Astyanax mexicanus: one gene and its partner. The main gene of each other region encodes a partner of the protein of the gene in region 2 in a complex. Links are inferred from orthologs where the notes say so. Each region holds a gene or a part of one and is shown on either strand. Other genes may lie near its edges.

Region 1 (7,734 bases), on a different chromosome or scaffold from region 2:
GTATTAAAACTACACTGATGCAACATTTTCACAAATGTAGACTTTAAATATGGGCTGTACAGATTAACTCTTATTACCGGTAATTTATTCATTTCCAAAGTACATAGAGCACTTAGACAGCAACAAATACTATGGGTGTAAAGTAAATCAAAGTTTAAAAAGTAAATATATTTTTACGCCAATTTACATGTGCAGATCTTTTTACAAGAAGTTTGGTTTTACTCAATGACGTCACAAACAAGCCTATTTCTTTCTTACTCCTTACAGAATAACAAAACAACGTCCTAGACTTCAGATTTCAACATATTAATAAATGTAAATGCTGATATATAATACAAATTACATAAATGTACAATGCTCAGTTTAGATCCAGAAGCCGTAATTTTGAGACTTATATTACACTACTTGGGAAGTAGTGTATAATCTGGGATTAAATCCCTTTATCATTTTAAGACCTTTAAAGCACTGACATGCTTATGAAAGCATTTTTTTTTTCAAAATGTATTTTGGAAAAATGTATTTAAAAATAGCTTCCTGAGATTTTATGCACGCTCCCATCCTTAACAAACTGTGGAGCACAAATGTCTTGAAATTTTACAATTAGACTACTTTAAATTCGTTGTAATAAGCTAAAATGTCGCATATTAGAACTGCACTAATGCACGTATTCCTCTGACCACCGACATAATGGAGTGCACCAAGAACCAATTAACTTCCCCTGTGAGATACAAAGATGTGTTTACCAGCTGAAGGTTTGAAACGCCATTATTTTTACAATACTAAAGCTTTCAGACCAGCACTCTTACAAAAAAATGCTATTTTCCTCCAGAATTAGGAAAAAAAGCCATTATTCTGGATACAGAAGCAAATACTTGTATAAAAAAGGTTTATACACCCATTTGCACTCTTGCAAAAAAAAAAAAAACTTTCCAAGAAAAAAGCTGCTGTAATTCTGGTGTAGCAACAATGTGAGTGAATATGTGAGTGTGTAAAAAGGGGAGACGTAGAGGTGTGTGTGTGTGTGTGTGTATGAAAATGTCTGTGAGCTCGGGATACAAGTCCTTGTCTTTTCGGACCAGATCGCTGTACATCTGTTCGTAAGTGGTTTTGAAGTCGTACACGTTGGGCTTGTCCGGAGCCGGGCCGGGGAGCTTGACGTGAGTGCCCGTCCCGAACGACCGCACGTCAAAACCACGTTTGCTGCAGAAACACAGAGAGATGGTGAACAGCTGAACAAAAACACACATTAACACACTCAGCACAACAAACACACACCTGCAGGGAATACATATCCCTCACTCTACTCTATTTACAAGTTATCTAGCACTTATCTAGCACACTGTGTGTATGAGAAATCAAGCAGTCGAGAGAAAGTGAATGTGTGCTGGAGTAAAGTTAAAGTGTGCACTAAAATAAACAAGAGAAGAAATGTATGTGTTTGGGCTAGCAGCCTCCCGAGGAAGTGAGCTAGTGAGCTCATGGGGAAGTGAGCACCTGAGATCCAGAGCAAGGGAACTAGTGAGCTAGCGTGTGGTTTTAATCTAACACCCCCTCACCCCAGCTTCCGGTTAATAAGCAAGTGAACCAGTGAGATCCTGAACAAAGTGAACTAGTGAGGAAGTGAGCTCCTGAGATCCAGAGCAAGTGTACTAGTGAGCTAGTGTGTGTGTTCTTAGTCTAACGCCCCCTCGTCCCAGCTTTCGGTTGATAAGCAAGTGAGCCAGTGAGCTCCTGAGATCCAATACAAGTGAACTAGTGTGTGTTTTTAGTCTAACTCCTCTTGTCTCAGCTTCCGATTGATAAGCAAGTGAGCTCCTGACGTAGTGAATGTGAGCTCCTAAGTAAACAAGTGAGCTCCTGAAACAGTGAATGTGAGCTCCTAAGTGAACAAGTGAGCTCCTGAAACAGTGAATGTGAGCTCCTAAGTGAACAAGTGAGCTTCCAAAGAAGTGAATGTGAGCTAAGTGAACAAGGGAGCTCCTGAGCTAATGAGCGCCAGATGAAGAGAGCACCTGAAACACTGATCTCCTGAGATCCAGAGCAAGTGAACTAGTTAACTTAGTGTGTGTGTGTGTTTTCAGCCTAACGGTCCCTCGCCACAGCTTCCGGTTGATAAGCACGTAAGCCAGTGACCTCCTGTGCTAGTGAACTAGTGAGCTTCTGAAATACAGAGCAAGTGAGTGTGTTTTTAGTCTAACTCCCACTCAACCCCAGCTTCCAGTTGATAAGCAAGTGAGCTCCTGCAGTAGTAAATGTGAGTAATCAAAGTGAACCAGTGAACCAGATCCTGAGCAAAGTCGACTAGTCAGCTCCTGGGATCCACAGCAAGTGTACTAGTGAGCTATTGAAAGTGTTTTTTGTCTAACGCCCCCTTATCCCAGCTTCCGGTTGATAAGCAAGTGAGCCAATGAGCTCCTGTGAACTAGTGCGGTCCAGACCTAGGTAAGAAGTGATATCCAGAGCTAGTGAGGTAGTGGACAAGTGATATCCAGAGCTAGTGTGCTAGTGAACAAATGATATCCAGCCCTAGTGAAGAAGTGCGTGTGTGTTTAGTCTAACTCCCCTCCCCCCAGCTTCCGGTTGATGGTTTAAAGCCTCTAACCCAAATCCTCGCACTCTTCCGACTGTAGAACACAGATAACTGACTAAATGACGATTAAAACGAAGTTAATTCGGATCAGAATTCGGATTTGCTCCGTTCGGACGGGTTAGTTGTTAGGAGGCGGCTGTGTGTGAAGGAGCCGGGCGGATAAACCTCTCTCTGAGAGGGTGGTGTGTTTGTGCTCCTCAGGGCTCTGGAGGAGCAGGAGCTTTAGGAGAAGCTGTGGAGGAGCTGAAGGAGATTTAGAAGGAGTTGTAGGGTGAGGTTGTCGGCGGCTCGCTGTAGTTTTCTCGGTAGGTTCCTCTCCGTTGTTACCTGAGGATGTTGTGAGCCTCCATGCTGCGGTTCTGGTTGCTCGAGCAAACGACCGCCACGCGCAGCGGCTGGCTCGGCATCGCTGTGAGTTAAAGTTCACAGTTCAGAAGAAGAATATTAAAGTTAAATATGAGGAGAGGAGAAGATCAGCGCGGCGGTTTTAGGAGAGGAAGACTGAGCCGGACCTGCTGTACAGAGAGAACTAGCTAAAATGGCGGAGGGAGACGAGGGGGCGCTGACGTATTGCAGCGGACGGGGCGGAGCCACCGGGTGTGACGCCACCTCCACAGTCCCAGTACTGCGCCTGCGCGCAGGGCCTGTGTCACGTCGATTTGTGCTACCCGTCCATATGTGCTAATTTTTCTGCTGCTGCGCAAGCGCTGACCCATGTGTTTATCACGATAAATATCTAGAACAGTTTTCCTTGAGTATGTGATGTAATTAACATTTTCTGTTTAAAATTGGCCTTAAAATATCCTTTTTTCCCTCACGAATGTTAACTACAAATTTACACGTATATCTTTTGTTATTATAACAATACTTTGAATTAACCATTACAATATATTGTAAACCTTTATATTCTACCCTTTGATTTTAATTCACTTCTCCAAACTAAGTAGAATCAGTACAAAAAAGTTCTTCTGTCACTGTTTTATTGTGATGAGGATCTATCGTATATCGATTAGCCTTTCTCAATTAATGTATTATTGTTTTTATTTGTAATTTTGTTATCTTTCATATGTCTAATTCTGTGATTTTCTTGTTTCACGAGCATATTGGATCCATGAATAATTAAGTCTGTACGTACCAATAACTTGGATATTGTTATCTGTCTGACGTTATTTGTATACTTGTTTGTTAAATAAAAAAGGTTTTCATTGAGTACTTTTTACAATCTTTTTACAGCAGTGTAGTTTGCAAATTGGGATAAAAAAATTATAGACTTAAAATCCTACCTAGCTTCACTTCAAACTTCTGCCGGGAGAATGTTCTTATATGATTTTTTTTTTTTTTTTTTACCATCAAATAAATAATACACTAGATTAACACGGTTTGACATACTAGCACATTTTGTCAGCGTACCGTCTGCTTTTTCTATTAACTCTATTGACTTATATTTATATATAAGGCAAATAAATTTTCACATCATTGTATCTCAACGATCACAAACACACACAAAACATGGTGTAAACTCATTATTACTTTATTATTTGACACAGCAGGTTTTGTATAAGAGAGGGAAAAAGCACAGTATTGAAATTTCTTCACCAGTCTGCACATCCTCTGACAGTGAACAACAATGAGGAACTCTCTAACAGCTATAAGGCATTTAATCTTATTGGGTCCACCACAGGGATGGCATCTGAGAACACAAACGCTTTACAGTGAAGTCCTACACAAATAAAACAGCATTGCTTTGTTTGAGGAGAAAGCTAAGAAGTGTCCCACATTCCTCTTCCAAATATTCACACTTCTGTAAAGTCACACTTTATGTAAAAATGCTATTGCTGCTAATAATCAATGAAAGCTGGTAGGCCTGGATAGAATTAGCATGTATAAACACAATGCAACTCCTTACAAATGCAAATACTGATAATTTTACCTTCTACTCACTAATGTATGTAGGATTATCAATGAGTAACAGACAAATTAATTAATGATTTCACTTATTATTCCCTAATTTAAGAATACTAATGATTCAATAACTACTACACAAGTTAGGTAGCACATTCCAGCGTTCATCCAGTGTTAGCATTAACAACATTTTTACATCTTTATTCAAGTGATAATTTAGCCAGAAATCTAACTCTTAACTCATTTCCCACCTTATCATATATTTACTCAATCAGAAAAGACAATAGAAAGCTTATTTAACGTTAGTTTAATACTGGAGCTATCAGGCTAATATAGCGTAGCTAACAAGCTACCAGTTAGCATGGTGCTAACTGCACACTTTCCCTTAAACCAGTTATTAATCTATAACATATTTCCTCATGTGTTTTCTGATATTATTTAACTCTTTATTATCTATTAAGGTCATTTTGAGATAACAATATAGATTGCGTACAACACATATTAATTGTTAGCTATATTAGCCCATTAGCCTTGTTGTTATCTTCAAACATGCTAGTTAAATTGTAAATGGATTAAAATAAGCTCACACAATTGTCCACAGCTAAAAATGTGTAAAACTAATCAATTAAACATTTTAAAGTATCATGGTGAATTTTCTTATCGTCTCAGCAATATACTTTTTTTATTTTTATACTTAGTCATTTTATTACAAAGAGCATAATAAGTCCAGTTTAGTCAATTTTGAATAAAAGTCGGTACTTAGTATAAGATAGCATTTTAAAGAATCACAAGTATTGCAATAAATATTGTGTATTGTGAAAGTTAATCTAATTCCTTAACAGGCTATCATTTTGTCAGTTTTATTCCTGATATTACACGACTAAATGTTGAGGATTTCTATTCACGAATAACATGAAAAGATGAAAAGATACTGAAAATCCTAATTGTAACTATAATAAAAAAATAATTTAAAATATTGCAGTAAATATATGCAAAAAATCATAAAATTAATGCTTTCTCAAGCTTAATTTCAAAATAATTTTAAAAGTAATATTTAAAAAAATACAAATCAAACAGTTCCTGTCCCTTTCATTTAATTATGGGCGTCTAGTTTTCATGTCTATTTTAAACATGCAGAGTTCAGGTTGATTCACCAACTGTTCTGTTTTCAGAATGTAAAAAAATATATTTTACTGCAATGAAAATGGGTTTTGTATCATATTCACTTTTAGCCTGTATACGGGCCAAATTTTGAAATACAGATTTTTTTTTTGTTTTAACATATCAGCACTAATTTAGAGTATAAGTGGGAAAATTGGGACATTTAATTTTTGGCTTCACTATCACTTTAAAACCCAACACTAAAACAGTCATGAGATGATCATCCATTGCTTTCTGTTACATTTTTATTACAGTTTATTTTCACCCTACAGTTATTCGAGACCTTCTGTATAACAGCATGTTTCTACAGCTATGTGAGTAAACCTATTTTTCCTAAGGGTGTGCGCACAGTTCAATGGTAAACATACGTTAATATTATTTGCAGGAAATGGACACAGGTGAGTCCAGGGTCACAGGCAGCGGGCACAACAGCTTATTGGTGAGAGTTTATAGCTATAGGAAAAGGTTAAAACGTTAAAGCTGGAGTCTGATCTCCGTCTGTACCTGATCTGTGTGTTTATACACTCTGAGGTTAGAGGCGGAGTTTGACCTTTGTGTTCAGGAGTGCAAAAAATGTTTCGTATTTATTTATGTATTTTATAACCAATGATTTAAGGACCAATTATTGTGATTACTTTTGAAATTATTTTTTGAGTACTAGACAAATAATAAAAAATATATAAACAGAAGGCAAATAATGTTGTATAATATAGTTGTATGGAAATATCAGGTTGTTTGCCGTTTTTAAAGCAGTAAGAAAATTTCAAATGAATGATGATTAATTAGTCAATTAGAGTTAAATCAATGTCACCACAACCTAAACCAAAAAATATGATTCTTGAAAATAAAGGGGTGTGAAAATCTGGTGTTCTTATTTTTTTTTCCTTTAAATATTATTATTTTTTTTACATTTTAGGTATTAAAATGTCCCTTTAGAACAGTTAACAAAAAATGTAATAAAAAAAAAATAATTTAGTGGGTTCAGTGCACATTAAAGCATGAGGGTACTTTAAATAATATTATTATCTGCAAACATTTTCACACACACACATACATACACACACTCACACACTTTAACAAGTGATTTGTCCAACAACCAATCAAACAAAATATATTTTGAATGTGTATTTCTCTACTGGGTACTGCAATGACCAATGAAGCAGAACAGCCTCTGATTGGCTGTATTCTTTTTTCAGGGGGTTCTGGGGTAAAAAATAGGCTCTAAGCGTGCCAATCTTCTATATTCCTGTATACTGGCAGATCAACTCCCATTTTTTATTAGTAAGTAATGATCTTTTGAACATTTTAAGTTGGTAAATATTTCTGCATCGATACTTCTGCTTGCTTTATGTTTGCCTGTGCGAGCGCCCTATGCAGCTTCAGCTATCGCTCTGCAGTTCAAACAGAGAAGGTGGGAAATTGTGGGTGGGACCAATCACAGCTGCTGCTGTCTGCGTTGTGCAACGTGTAGTTACATCGTGTAGTTACGATTATGGCGTAGCTTCGACGCAGAAGTATAAACTGGTCTTTTCTTCCCGATTGGACGCCAGAGCAGCAACTAATAAAGCGGATAAGATTGGCCTCTGATTGGCTGCTTTCTGAGCCCCACCTCCACACTTTGTTATCGCCCTAATAAACATTTTTTTTAAATGTGCGCATATTGAGGGCGGATTTTAACAATGTAATTTCAGCTCTGGACAGAAGGGTGTGCTCAAAACTCCTTCTAAGACTGTTAGAATCTGATTTAAACAGTATATAAATTCTGAACTGAATGTGTTAATTTGTGTTTTTGGTTTTCAGGAGAATAAATACAATAAATTAGATTAGATTAGGTTAGATTATTTTGGATAAAAAGAATAACTAATGAACATTCTAAAGATGTGGAGCTTTTGTTAGTGTGTACATGTTTTTATTCTTTTTTTTGGTGTGAATTTTTAGCACTACCTCAGTGGCTGAGAGAGATTTAGTGTGTGTGTGTGACTCGAGTGTGTGGGATGTTGAGAGTGCTGTAGAAGAGTGTGAGAAAGTGGCCTATTTATTTCTGCTGTGTGTCTGAGTGCTGTTACGTGTGCATTATTTCA
Region 2 (7,797 bases):
TCTCATAGGCTTGTACAACCTCTGACATGAACATGGGCCTTTGCCGGGCCAGCGTGGCCAGTGATCCCAAAGCTGTGGTGAGATTAATGCTGGAAATGGCTGGGTGCACCATGAACTTGAGGAGCTGCTCTAAAGCAGACTTCCCCTCTTCACAAAGAACATCTAAAGTGAGAGGGATTAAATACGAAACAAAACAAGAAACAAAAAAAAATTATTAAACCTGGATTTATGGACATGAAAGCTGCCAAATGATGGGAGAAAAATAAACACAAAAACTGTTTGCCATATATAGTTTGAAACTAGATTTTGTACTTTGGTTAAATAATTTATTGTGTAAAAGCATAAAATAATATTTTTAAAAATCTCATTAAACACAACTTTGTCATAGATTTGACCCACCATAGCGAATGTACGAGTGATCTTTTGGAATTTTGTCAAGGCTGATGTCCCCCTCTTGCTTCTTGGGTACATCTGAGTCTGGTTTCCGTGGTGATAGGGCGATTATGAGGGATTCAGTAAATTTGATGGCATGGGTGCGAACGCCGTCATTGTCTGAATCTAGCAGAGCCAGAACCTCTTCCTTCATCTGGGTCACCATATTCCAGCATGCCTCTTGCATTTCAGATACACTCTTTGACTGCACCAACCACTGGCAGAAAGACAAACCAAAACAGTCAGATATCAGTAAGAGAAATGCTGCAAAAGGCTTTGGCTCTAAATGTCAGTCATTACAAGGTACTGAATGACAACATAAAAAAGTAAAGCAGTAAAGCAGGAAAAATACCTGTAGAGACACTTTGTAAAGATGAGTGAGTGTGAGGATGGCCTTCTTCACAACATTCACACTCTCATCCTTCAGCAGCATGTTCAGATTCGCAATCAGCTTCAGCAACAGCTCATTATCCCGTTTACTGAAACAGCACAAGTAAACGACATTACCTGGTTCTCGGCTATTAACACCAAAGAGTTTCTTTGTTATGTAAATTAAACAGCATCGCTTTATACACACATGTCACATGAAGCACTAACTCAAAGCTCAAAAATCTCTATGTGTACGATAAAGTAGACTGAGTAAAGTAAACTTACACACATACATTATTAATACTACACTATACAACACATATATATTGACACACCTTTTCATACATTGTTACTGTATATAGTAGAGCAGTTGTATATTTGGCACTGCCAACCAACATGACCAAATAATGCAGATGAGTATTAAGAAATGCAATAAGAACATCACGTAAACAAACAAAACAAAAATAGAACTCACCACGCCTCCTCGATGAAGCCAATAACAAATTTCCGCACTTCAATTGACTTGTCTGTCTGAAACGCAATCATCTCCTGCAGATGAAATGAGAGAGATGACATTTTAGTTTATGCCTTAAGGATTTCTTTTTAGAAGCTTTTATAGAACACTAAAAGTGATTTTACTTACATCCAGGAAATTATCAAGTAATGATGGATCTTTGTTAATAATCAACTCCTGCACCTAATAATCAAAACAAATATTTACAGTAAGCATGCAATTCAAACATCTGATTGTGTAAAAATGGCACACAATGCTATAGAAATATGTTTACCTGCTTAAGTGCAGTAAGTTTATCATCAGTGGACATAAAAGCAGCCTGGTTCAAAAGGTCCACTACCTATGATGCACAGTCAGTTGTGAGGAACAGTTAAAACATTTCATTGTGATGCACATTCAAAAGCTATATATATATATATATATATATATATATATATATATATATATATATATATATATATATACATATATATGATTTTTTTTTTATTTCTGACAAGCCACAGTCTCGCTCAGTGTGATATTTCCTCTGCTCTAGCAACCATTCTAAAACTGGTCACAGCCTTATATTGTGTGACTGAGTAGGTAATTCTTTAAACCTTTAGAATCCTCCTGGACTGCAAGAGCCATGCATGATGTAGTCTAAGCCACTGCTGACCAACAGTTTTGTAAGTAAGCACTCCCTAAGTTGAATTAGGAGTATTAGAACCAGAAACGTAAGACACTGTGAAGCGTTATGGACTACAGAACTTGAACTGCATAAGTGATCGGCCAAGCCACAAAGGATCCCTTATATTACCTTTTCACTGGTGGTCATATCGATGGCTGCTTCCTCCGATCCAGTAAAGTGCCTTTCTCCAGAGCCTGACGCCATTCTGTCTGCTAAACAACAGCAAAATTTCAAAAAATAATCAGACTTCCATGCAATTCCATTATTTCTTTCTGCTGGGGAATAACACATTGAACCTTGTGATCAGGGTAATTTTATGAAAAGGAAGTTAATGTTATTCGGCGATGACTAGTTTTGATCATCATGGCCAATAGTTTTTGAAAAAATGTTTTGTAACAATTAGAAGGGGCCCCATTTGAAAGAGATACTAAAAAGGCAATTGATTGATTTGCCTGTCCTGTTGCAATGGACCTGTCTATATACGATTTTTAGGCATGTCCATTTATCTTTATTTTAAATTTAAAAATCCCTGGCTGGGGTTGGGGGAGTCACAGTGCCACAAATGTTGAAGAAGCACTGATCGACTCCACTTTACTACAAATTAAACAAAACACACTTGAGATTTATTTTACTGTGGGTTTGGATTCTGTGTGAGACCTGCAGTCTACATTTACAACTACTAACTAACTACGAGCTTTTTTCGTTACAGAGCTACACTACCAACTGGGCTTTTACTCTGATAACACTCAGGTCCACACTACATAAACACAAGTCACTTTCTCCATTCACTGTATGAGGAGCTAGTTAGCTAACCTAGCTAGCTTAGCAAGTAGCTAAAGTTCTGTGTGAGACTTTTTTTTCCACATAAAGAATTTAATTGTAGAAGGAACCCTGTTCCTTTACTGTTCACATGACCGTAAACTCTCTTTGAATATTGAGTCTTGACTGTTGGGAGAATTCTAATCAGCTAGTTGACTAGCTAAAGCTAGCTTAGCTAAGCTAACATAGTTACCGTTAGCTACAGCCTGGCCTCTGAGCCGGTTGTGTATTATAGTGTTTTAATAGTAAATGAGAAGCACCAGACCGGCCCGCGGGGTTAGTTAAAGAGCAGAGTCTCGTTACAGTAACTCACAGCAGTGTTATCTCTCTCCTGTTCACTCAGACCGGCTGTAAACTCCACATCTCCATCACTCCATTCACTCCACAGGCGCCATGTCGGAGCTGAACGGAAGTGTCGGTTGTTGGAGACTCTCACAACACACATACACTTCCGTCTAAACTTCACAGCCCATTTATTATTATAAAAATAATAATAAATCAGCCTGATATTGCGGATCCTGATATTTCTCTTCAGACATTAAATATAAGGGTTTCATGTTTATTTTGAATTAAATCTGCAGCTGTCAAAGTATAATTAATAAAAATCATGAAACTGAACTAAACCTCATTTTAAAATTCAAACTTTCCTGAACCAAAATAAAACATTCCATGTCCTCCAAACATTTCGTTACGGTTATCTAGTTTTTATGTCTATTTTCAAAAATGGAAAATTTGGGAATTCCTACGGAGCCCCTAAGGTGACATCCTGTTAAAAAAAAAAATAGTGGCCACAACTTATTAAGGCGAGGGAACAAGATAAATAAGTCAGAGCCAGAGAATAATAAAGTTTGCTTTTCTGTAAATTAATGCCCATGAAAAAATATTACATCAAAGCTCCAATTCAAAGACAATCTTTTGTAAGAAAATTGAGTGTACTGGTTTCTTTTTATTTTCATCTTGGAATGAATTATGATAAGATTTTGGAGTCTCCTGGAGTGAAACATGGAACAATTCTAAGTAAAAGACAATTAATTGTCATACTAAACGCTGATGGGTTCAGACGCAAACAGACCCGTTAACCTTTCTTAGGCAGTCATATAGTGCACAAGAGCTGCTTGCTTCTGTGAAACAAGAGGACCTTGTGGACACGCCTTAATTATCTAATTTCCACGTCTTAATAAGTTGTGGCCACGGCTTAGGATCTCATTCCCACAGTTTAATAAGTCATAGTCACACATTATTATATATTTTGTCACCTTAGGGGCTCCATAGATTCCTTTTACTAATTTGGAGTTATCTATTTATTGTAGTAGAGAGTGGAAAGGCTGCTTCTCCATGGTCCTCAAAAACCCTGAAAGTTTTCAGAATGTAAAGAACTTATTTTACTGCAGAGAAAGAGTTTCGTACAGAACCTCCAAGGTGACATCATAACAAAAAATGCGTGGGAATGAGATCCCAAGGCGTGGCCAAGCTTATTAAGGAGTGGGAGTGAGTTCTTTCATCGTGGCCACAACTTAAGGTGAGGGAATGAGATAATTAAGGCTTGGGAACGAGATAAACAAGGCATGGGAATGTGATCCTAAGACATGGCCACAACTTATTAAGGCGTGGGAATGAGATGATTAAGGCATGGCCACGACATATTAGGGCGTGGGAACAAGTTAATTAAATCGTAGACATTGAGGTGTGGTCATAAGCTTTTTTGTTTCACAGCAAACAAAGCAAGCAGCTCTCAAGGGTTGTGCACAACATTACATTACATTACATTTGGCAGACGCTTTTGTCCAAAGCGACTTACAATAGTGAAGTACAAAAAGTAATAGATGTTAATGGTAAAAGCATCTTTAGATAGGGCCTAAAGGAGGTCAAAGAGAAATAGTAGGATAGAGGAGTGAAGGAGGGGAAGAAGGGAGTGAGGTTAGAAGAAGTTAGTTTGTTAGAGGTGTTAGGAGAGTAAGTGCTCTTTGAAGATCTCTGTCTTCAGGAGTTTCTTAAAAATAGCGAGAGATTCTCCTGATCTGGTAGTGGAAGGAAGATCTGGAACATGACTGCATAATGAAGGTAAACGGGTCTGTATACTGTCTGCGTCTGAGCCCGTTAGCTTTAAGTCTGAAAATTAAGAGTCTTTTACTTAGATTAAGTCTTGTCTCACTGCAGGAGACTCCAAAATATCGCCATCATTAATTTCAAGATGAAAATAAAAAAGAAACCTATTAACTCTCCATTTTCTTACAAATTTTCCTTGTTTTGGAGCTTATATGTAATAAATCTTTTTCATGGGTTTTAATTTACAGAAAAGCAAGCTTTATTATTCTCTGGCTACAACTTAATTATCTTGTTCCAATGCATTTTTAAGCCATGCCTTAGGATTTCATTCCCACACCTTAAATCATGGCCATGCATTATTTTTTTTTAACATGATGTCACCTTAGGGGCTTTGTATGTTTGTTTCATCTACACTTGTAGCCAGTATATGGGCATTATATTCCTTTAATTTGATGTTTTTACAATTACAAACAATTACAAAAGCCATGTCCACTAAAACACCTAGCATATATCCAGCATATATCCAAAATTGAAATTTAGCAAATGTTTTAAAATGGAAGATTTCACTCTTTTTATTCAGAATTATTTAAATAGTTTATATAGTAGCTACACAAATGGAGAATGATATTTTTCACTGGACAATTTTCTGTATTCTACTGCAATACACACATTTTACATATGGGTACAGAAATCAAATTTTTCCGAAATAATTATTTTTTTTCCAATGGCAAGCACATTTGTTCACTTAAGATGCACGACAGGGTAAACAGTTTTGGCAAAAATTGGCATTTAATGAAAACACGAATGACCTAGGTTTGCATACATTTGGAAACTGTTCATGGTGACCTTGGTCCATTACCTGGATATTTTAGAAGGACAGGGTGGACAGCTAAAGCTTTACCTCAGCTAATTATACACACAATATGATACATAGAAAACAGGGAACTCTGCAGACATTGCAAAAATCTGCGCACTAAAGAACATTTTCGCATTAAAGAAAACCGCTTGAAATAAAAAAAAAGTACTTTAAACTAAAGCTTAACATTCCTCTATATTTGTAATAACGTGTTCTTTCAGAGTAAATCTTGAAAAATATATTGTTATAGCCTATAAATCTGAAACAGTTATGCTGAAGACACAAAGGTTTTATTATATTGATTTTGACCATGTGTATTTACACTATTTATTAATATACTTGTGCACAAATTCTTTTATCATTTTACACTCATCCATTAATCTATTTTCACAGGCAGGTCAGATAACCACTATAAACAGAAATGCACTTTTGCAATCGTTTGCCGTAAAAGTACACATTTCTGATACAAACCATTTAGAACGAAAATTTTTTAACACAATTTCAGTTCATTTTTTAAGAGATTTGGTTAAATTAGCTAACATTAATTACTTTAGGTTTAATAATAGCCGTAGGTACTGTCCAAGATGGGATATTTTAGCAATATCCTATTCATTTTTTTCACCTTTACATGCTGTTACTGGACACGTTTTGTACCGATAAAATCTATAGTGCTCATCAAAAATATATCAGTAGTTTAAATAATTACTATTGGTTGCACATATGGATGTAGTAACTTCAGTCACTTAAATGTTTGGTCTGACTGAAAGCTGCTTTCAAGAACAAATGATCTACAATCACTTTGAATAAAAGAAAACTACAAAACAACAAATCAAGTCATTTCCTTAGATTATATTCTCCAATACAAAAAAGTGAGTTTTGATCTGACACAAAACCACATGCAAATATTGTTTTACAAACATGGTACAAGGTATAAAAACTTTTACAACCACACAAGGAGCAACTAATGCTCACTAAACATGAGAAGACATGAAGCCAGCCAGTTGAGACATTAAGAATGGTATATAAAAGGATTTGACAAACTCCACAGGTACATGATTTCAATTAAAGCGTTAGAAAGAATTATGCTGTTAAAATGTTCACTTAGTATTTATCTACACAAGATTGCTTTCTTAAACCAATGAGGGAAAATATGGTTCTTAAAAGATGAATAAAAAGAGCAGAGAAACAAGTTTCTACATACAAAACTGTCAAAACTGATCAGATGTAAAATCCTGCGCCCCCACTACACGTAATCAACCACAAAGCGTTCAAGCACATTTGTGCGTGCAGTATCTGGAACAAACTACATCACATGTCGCTACTCATATAAATTTGCCTGCTTGCCGTTTATAAATATCTGAACTAAACTCTGAGTTAACATAACACTTCAAGAGCAAAACTGGCTACTGCCACCAGAACTAAAATGCATTAATGGAGCGCAAGGAAATGCAGTTACATTTAAGGCTGAGCAAATAGGGTAAAAAGTAACAGAAGCAAACAAAAAACATACAAAGCTTTTAAAGGGGAGTGGCGTAAGGGAGAAGGAAGACTATGTGAGGGTAAGATAAGACGGAGACTATAAAAAGATAGGCAGAGGAATGATGTTGACGGAATGAGCTTGGAGGGTCACGGTCGATGCAGGTACTACTGCTGTGTGCCCTGGGAGCCTTGCGTGTTCTGCTGGTTGCCATAGCTGCCGTAGTTTCCGTACTGGTTGTAGTACTGGTTCCACTGGCTCTGGCTCTGGTAATATTGCTGCCATTGCTGAGCATACTGCAAACACAACAATGAAAAAAAAGATCAATCAAGATCACAGGTCAAACAAACACTATTATCAAAACTATTTCTAAATAAGTACTAGATACGTTTCCTGACACTATGTTTGAGAGACCCCAAGATGATATTTATTTAAGGTACCACAAAGAACTATGATGCTACTGTCCAGTTATTTTTTTAAAGGTGTGTCACTGCAGGTTTCATCACACCATATCCTTTCCCCAAACATCTGTAGTGCTGAAGTAGCTTACCTGCTGATACTGCTGGTTGTAGCTCTGCTGCTGCTGCTGCTGTTGTTGTTGTTGTTGTTGTTGTTGT

Evidence for each region. The genes of interacting proteins can lie anywhere in the genome.
Region 1: the proteins of sympk (region 2) and ssu72 are in contact, whole or in part, in a crystal structure (PDB 4H3K), measured with the Homo sapiens proteins. The link is inferred for Astyanax mexicanus from reciprocal best matches to the Homo sapiens genes SYMPK and SSU72. Residues at the interface, in NP_004810.2 of Homo sapiens: Val123, Lys127, Leu131, Gln135, Asp175, Asn176, Asp177, Gly178, Thr181, His182, Lys185, Glu188, Pro204, Arg205, Arg206, Gln207, Ser250, Ile251, Thr254, Thr255, Asn262, Ala290, Ser292, Gln293, Ser295, Ser296, Lys299, Asn300, Leu303, His304; in NP_054907.1 of Homo sapiens: Glu113, Tyr116, Asp117, Val120, Asn124, Glu127, Gln128, Glu129, Thr130, Cys131, Gln132, Pro133, His135, Asp167, Glu169, Asn170, Asp173, Gln177, Glu180, Thr186, Phe187, Leu188, His189, Thr190, Val191, Phe193.

The regions. Positions count from the first base shown.
Region 1 is NC_064431.1:31,532,872-31,540,605, forward strand, and holds the start of ssu72 (RNA polymerase II subunit A C-terminal domain phosphatase SSU72), read right to left. Parts: upstream 3,152-7,734; 5' UTR 2,998-3,151; coding exon 2,918-2,997; intron 1,201-2,917; coding exon 1,057-1,200; intron 1-1,056. UniProt on the Homo sapiens protein: Protein phosphatase that catalyzes the dephosphorylation of the C-terminal domain of RNA polymerase II. Plays a role in RNA processing and termination. Plays a role in pre-mRNA polyadenylation via its interaction with SYMPK.
Region 2 is NC_064408.1:29,757,101-29,764,897, reverse strand, and holds the start of sympk (symplekin), read right to left. Parts: upstream 3,272-7,797; 5' UTR 3,115-3,271; intron 2,195-3,114; 5' UTR 2,187-2,194; coding exon 2,112-2,186; intron 1,656-2,111; coding exon 1,590-1,655; intron 1,499-1,589; coding exon 1,445-1,498; intron 1,351-1,444; coding exon 1,277-1,350; intron 912-1,276; coding exon 785-911; intron 650-784; coding exon 400-649; intron 163-399; coding exon 1-162. Other genes in the region: hnrnpul1l (heterogeneous nuclear ribonucleoprotein U-like protein 1), read right to left, coding at 7,348-7,476, 7,731-7,797. UniProt on the Homo sapiens protein: Scaffold protein that functions as a component of a multimolecular complex involved in histone mRNA 3'-end processing. Specific component of the tight junction (TJ) plaque, but might not be an exclusively junctional component. May have a house-keeping rule.